Yarrowia lipolytica: one gene and its partner. The protein of the gene in region 2 interacts with the protein of the main gene of each other region in a pairwise test. Links are inferred from orthologs where the notes say so. Each region holds a gene or a part of one and is shown on either strand. Other genes may lie near its edges. The genes, in order: YALI1_F31432g and YALI1_B18902g.

Region 1 (2,784 bases), on a different chromosome or scaffold from region 2:
ACCACAATAGCTCCGGACAAGTTGGTCGTACTACCCCTACAACACGACGCACAATCTTCTTACAGGACCATGCATAAAAGTTATCCAGTTACTCATCACACGATCTCTTTACCTTACAAACTTGTGCAACATGGCCAAAAGAACTGCTAAACCAACAGCGAAATCAGCAAAAATCACAGCCTTTCCTTGGCCCAAGTCTCTGCTCGACAATGACCCCTCCAAGTCGTACAAGGTCCACACTGAGACGATACTCAAGGACCAGATTTACGTGATCCATGGGTTTCTACCCGCCAAAGTCTGCAATGATCTGGTTCAAACCATTGTTAAGACGGACGCCGACGACACACACACTTTTAAGATGGAGACGACACCGCTGACGAAACGAAAAGATTATGCTGCTCGGGTCAACGATCGAGGGGCAGTGGAAGATACAGGGATCTGCAACTACCTCTGGCACCAGCTGGAGCCCATTATCGAGTCTGATCCGGAGCTGTCAGAGTTCAAATCGGCCTTTGGACTCAACCCCAACATTCGAATGTACAGATACACCCCTGGGCAGTTCTTTGATCAGCATTACGACGAGGCGGTAAGATGCAAGGTGGGATCGACTGTCTGTACTACACGATGGACGTTGCTACTGTACTTGTCAGAATGCCAGGGAGGTCAGACTATGTTCTACGAGGATGGAGGGAAGTCGTACGAGGTCCAGCCCACTAATGGCAGTGTACTGCTGCATAAGCATGGAGAGGACTGCCTGTTGCATGAAGGACGAGAGGTGACGGCGGGTGAGAAGTGGATTCTCAGATCGGACATTGCTTGGAAGAATTAGCGAGCAATATCGAAGCAATTTGACTGACGATGGTGAGCCATGGCAAAAGAGACTCTGACAGATAGTAATCAGGATAACTGAGACTACAGAGACACAGGGCTTGGAGTGTTCTGGCGGCAGTGGAAGTGCCTGTGGTAGAGTCAGAAAATCTACGACCACTCCGGCACTTATATAGCATCTTGAGCACAAGCTGGGGGGTACAGTCCTTAGATGATAAGTGATACACTCCGGATCACCTCCTCCCCTATAGGACTGATAGACGACGTATTGTATGGACGTGGGAAAAGTTACGGTCTTCACTTGTTGAAGTATGTAGTGCACGACAGCAGTGAACACAGGACTGACAGGACTGCCTCTTGGTTTCTTTACTAAAGTGGATTTCATACTTAACCTTTTGTCAAGTATAATAGTCAACGTTGTTAGCTTCGTGGACATGAGCCGAATGAATAACTACTGCGGTCAGCAGTTTCGGTTCTTCCCCTTTGCCATTCTTGTAAGTATGTACCACATCTTCTCATTATCTCAAAACTTCCATGTCACAGTACATACTGTACTCTTTAACAAGTACAGTACAGAAGCTAAAATACCCTTTTAGATTACTCAGAGCAATGCCATAAATATCCTTCCAATAGCGGCTATGGTCCACGATTACTCGATTTGAAAAAATGAATCTGCTAAACAGCTCAGCACATCCAAGGTGTGCTCTTCATATTTCTCTCACCTGGTCACATGATCGCCCCACCGCCTTACTCTCGTCCATACAGTCTATCTTGCTCCCAACTCTATTGCTCCAAAACGGGGGTGCGCATGTCATCATGCATGAAGAGTACTTCTTCCTGCCGCTGAGATAATGGTGTCATATAACCACCTACTCATTTGCCACACACCACACAAAACACAGACCCACCTCACGCACAATGTCACACAACCAGCAGGCCGCACAGCCATCGTCGTCACGCACACAGGTGATTGAACGGGAGGCGTCTCCAGGTGTTCTGACCGTACGAGGAGCCGCCGAAGACGAAGACTCCAACGTTCGATTTACAGAGGAAGTCGTGGACAACGAACACATGGACAAGAAGAAGTCGAAAATCTGTTGCATCTACCACCCGCCGGCCGAGTTTGGCGAGTCGTCCGAGGAAGAATCGTGTGGCTCTGACGATTCTGGACCCGAATCCGATGAGGGAGATATTCCTAATGCCCGAAAACCCAAGAAGAAGAACAAGGGCAAGTGCGGAGGACACAGAGACCCTTCTCCCAATGCGTACGAGCGAAAGCCACGACCCAAGAAGAACTAATCGTTACAACAATATGCATTTTTACACCAACAAACACGATAACCGCGCTACTTTTGTACAGACATATGTACCTACAACACTGTAAGATAGGAATTGTTTTTTTGATGATTTAAGAAAGAAGGAACCAAGTAATTGTGGTAGCTCTGTATCTTTTAAGTAGACTGTACGTTCTACTCATACTGCTCTGTACATTTCTTGTACTGTACTGTAGAGATCTCTTGGGTACAGTACAAGCTTACTAACACAAGTCGGGATGTGAAATAAGGTTTTTGATCTCTCCATGCCTTTACCTGGAAATCAAACTAGACCAACAACATCATCGCAGAATGTCGAGACTGACCAACACAGAGGTGAGTACGATTTTAGAGGACGATTAAGGGATTGCTCTTGATTGCTCTTGAACCAGGAGGGCTTTGGGCTGATCCAATCGGCTAGAACTTGTGACACAAACCCATGAATGAAACGATCAGAGGCCATCAATATCTCACTACCCACAGCTAACACAGTTCATCTCGTCGCTCAAGGACGCTTTCGACGGCATTTCCAAGAAGGAGAAGAAGCACTCCCTTTATTTCACACAAAAAAGACTCAGTCCCGCCAACGTGGAGCCCGAAGAGCCTTCAAAGGAGTACCCTCTACTGATCCGAGTGGCTTACA
Region 2 (3,794 bases):
GTGGGGTAATAGGTGGGGGAATGCATGTAGTTTGTGAGATTCACAAAGGGGTTGGAATCGAAGGGCTCCGGGTCTGAGAGCTTGGGAATATCGCCACCGACATTGCTTGCAATTCGGATGATAATGGTATCGGACTTGGGCTTGGCCTTCTTCTCTCCGTCGTGGTGCTGGGCGGTCTTCTTCTTGTGGTTATCGAGTCGCGCTTTGGGACGTCGGTCATTTCGGAGACCCACGGGGGATCTGCCTGCTGCTTGACGAGTACGTCTGTACGCTCCATGACGGTTGGGGTAGTAGTAAGGGTAGTGAGGAGGCGGGGGTGGAGCCATTGGGTATCGGGGGTGAGGGTGAGGGGGTTCTCTCTGTGCTTTGGCCACGCAAGCCAGCAGCAGGAGTAGACAGACACCCACCAGCGCTTGGGTATTTGTGTATCTCATGTTTTTATTTCTGGTGTGTAGGAGAATAAGTTAAGGTGGGCTGTTCTGTTTTTAAATGTGGGAAGCGTCTTTCTGTGTTTGTGTGACCACCACAATTAGTGTGTCACACACACGTTAAATAAGTCAACAAAAAAGCACATTATGGAAGCTACAGAACGTACAGTACAGTATAACAGTAACCATTTACGTACTAATAGCCATTGTAAGAGGAGAGATTCCAGATGTTAGCATTACACCAAATAGTCACTACGCTAAATCTCACGGATGCCTATAAATATATGCATTCATTCTATTATATATGACAGTAAGAGAACGATTTCAGAAACGCTGTCTCACGGCCTACAGAACGTAGTCAGCTATCGTAATAATATGCTGCTAAGACTTGATGAAAGTAGCGTCAATCTGTCGAAGGGAAGGGCCCAAACAAAGTCGCACCTTGTTTCTGTAGGTGGCAGGGTTTTCTCGGTGCAGAGGGTTTCGCTCAAAGTAGACTGTTTCGAGGTTTGGCAGCTGTCCAAGCTCAGTCTCAATCTCCTTGTAGTTGGAGAGCTTGCAATCCGAGGCCCAGAACTCCTCCAGATCCTTGAGGTGCGAAACACCCTCCAGGGTGGTGATGGGGTTTCCAGTAATGTCCAGGGTTCGCAGCTTGGTGTTGTGTTCCAGGCCCTCGATCTTCGTGATTCCGTTGTGACTAATGTACAGCTCTTCCAGGTTCTTCAGTTTCTCCAGACCCTCGATTTTGGTGATTCTGTTGGATTGAATAGACAGGGTTTCTAGACTCTCCAGTCCCGACAGACCAGACAGCTTTCGGATCTTGTTCTTTCCGAGCCACAGCTGACGCAGGTTCTTGAGATGGTCCAAGTTCTCAATGACTCGGATTCGGTTGGCTCCAAGCTCAAGGTTAACAAGATCAGGCATGTTGTCCAGACCTCGAATTTCCTGGATCTTGTTCTGGCAAAGATAGAAGTTGATGACCTTTGTGAGTTTGCTGACGTTCTTGATGTGACGGATCTTGTTGAAGGAGAAATCCAGATTGGTGAGGTTCACCAGATGGTTCACATTCTCGATCTTGCCAATTCGGTTATCGTACACGTCGAGATCAACCAGGGTATCAGATACCTCCTCCAGGCCATCCGTGCTAGGAGAAATGTTCTGTCGCAGACAGAGGGTCTCAAGCTGCTTGAATCGACCCAGACCAAGCTTGGCAAAGTCACGGATCTTGAGATGAGTGAGGTCAATGTCGAGAATGTCGAGGTCAGCATCGGCCAGAAGGTCTTCGTCGGCCTCAATTGCCTCGAAAGCTTCCTCCTCTTCATCTTCGGAAACGTCGGACTCGAAAGATGGAGGAACCACTGTGACAGCCGATTCTGTCTCAGCAGCAGGCTCTTGGGTGGGCTGAGCCTTGGCTTCAGGTTTGGTGTCCTCTGCGGTCATGTTGGGGTGAGGATGCTTAGCAGATTTTCTTGTTTGCGTGTGAAAAGCTATATCTCAAAGCCGCCGTACGTAAGATCAGTGGATTCGTAGCTGTGCAGGTGCAGTTCAGGAAATTAATTCGCCCCCCATCTCAGGCGGCCTGCAAGATCCGAACCTTGCTCAACATCACAGGTTAAGATGTTATGATTAGTAATACTTCGGTGAATGGCCTTGGGGTGCAATGGGAAGATTGCAAAAGGTGATATCTGAATTTACTGGTACAAGCTGTTATTATACCGCAAGCACAGTCGTCGAGACGATACGTTACAAGGCATACAGCTACACCTCTCTGGACTCGTGCGGCTATTGTCCCCGAATCTATTATTGGAAACTGGCGAATCTAAAAAAAAGCCAACCAAAAGTGTTTGCTTTGGATGTGGACGATAATGTCCGTCGAATGAGACTGGAGAGTTTGGCAGATTAAGCCTGAACCAGCAGGGGTTTCGGATTAATTAATTATAGCTCACGTGTGCCAGGGATCCATCAGAGTGAGCAGAGTAGGTTGGAGAGGCTACAGAGGCTTCCACAGCCTTCTTTTTGAGTACGAAGCCGTATGTAACATCATACAGACTGGCCTATCGTGCTACTGTATGTACTGCTGGAGCTCCACTCGGCCATATGGCCTGTTTTTTTACCTTCTCCCCAGCAGGTGTACGTATTGTACAAGTGCACATGTACTCGTACTTGTACGTTTGCACACATTTTATGGAACATGAAATGCCGAGGTTAGGAGTGTTTAGAGTAGTCAGTCATACACACAGCTCATGGCGACAGTCTAAACTAAAAACAGTATCTATAATACGATAATCACACGTTCAACAGTACCAGTACAAGTAGCTACACCACACCCTCAGTGATCGACGCTTAATCAGCCGCATCCTGGCAATCAGAAGGAGATAACTCCTGGTGTGCATTAGTTGAGGTGTTGGTACCCCGCCCAAGTGAGCATCGATTGGCGATTGTATTTGCCGCAGTGGCCTGAAAATGAGTCTACAACTATGGCTCTGTTGAGGCCAAGTAAACTGTATACTGTATGGTTGCAAGGTTGTTCCGAAACAAGAGAATGAGGCTCTAGGACGCCAGCCACAAGAGAGAGCTTGTTCCACGCGAGCTATTGTGCTTCCATTGTACGGTTCACTATCGTAGTTGACGGGTCAAGTACTTCGAGACACGTGACGTTATCTGGTGAACTAATTATTGCACACCATCAGGGCCAGTGTGTGGAAGCTCTCCTAAAACTGTACAACAGGCGTCTACGAAGTGCAGCTGAACGGCGCATTTCTGGTCGCTGGGGCAACCGCCTAGTTTAGCAGGCCACTAACAAAGAAGGTCCAACTGCGGACGTGTCACTGATAAGTGGAACAGCAGGCCTCATAAAGACTGTATTCCTCCAAGCTGTGCTACGGTAAAGACGCAAATCATTTCGACTGAAACGGCGTATCCCAGTTCGTAATCAGCAAAACTTCGCCATTCCGCTCTGGAGATAGGGCTATGTGTCTTTGTTCCTTGTGAGCCGGCTGTGTGCTTTGTGAAGTTGCGTTGCTACTTGCTTGCACCCCTGAATGCAATCTCCTCACATTTCATGCTCGGCACGCGTCCTCTTTGGTTTGGCTAAAAAACAGGGAATAGCCAGGGGCCTAGGAATGTCGTTGGTCGTGGGTCCAACAAAAAAAAAGATGTGGAGTGTGGAATGTGGAATGAGCAAGCTATGGATTGCACGATATAGAGGGGCAGCGACATCAGGTGATGGCCCCACAGTAGCAGAAAAGTGCAACGCGGGATTTAAATCCTTACCCCAGCACGTTTCACTGCCCCACCCAAAGGTGCAGGTCCTACTCTACTGATAGCAATAGATGCGTCATAATTGGTTGGCCCGCTGAGCCTCCA

What was found.
Region 1: the proteins of YALI1_B18902g (region 2) and YALI1_F31432g interact in binary tests that used the Saccharomyces cerevisiae proteins (3 or more experiments, as listed by UniProt). The link is inferred for Yarrowia lipolytica from reciprocal best matches to the Saccharomyces cerevisiae genes SDS22 and YPI1.

What each region holds. Positions count from the first base shown.
Region 1 is NC_090775.1:3,141,512-3,144,295, forward strand, and holds YALI1_F31432g (uncharacterized protein), read left to right. Parts: upstream 1-1,746; coding exon 1,747-2,127; downstream 2,128-2,784. Other genes in the region: YALI1_F31416g (uncharacterized protein), read left to right, coding at 131-829; YALI1_F31439g (uncharacterized protein), read left to right, coding at 2,454-2,477, 2,634-2,784.
Region 2 is NC_090771.1:1,888,345-1,892,138, forward strand, and holds YALI1_B18902g (uncharacterized protein), read right to left. Parts: upstream 1,869-3,794; coding exon 810-1,868; downstream 1-809. Other genes in the region: YALI1_B18887g (uncharacterized protein), read right to left, coding at 1-434. UniProt on the Saccharomyces cerevisiae protein: Regulator of the mitotic function of yeast type 1 protein phosphatase.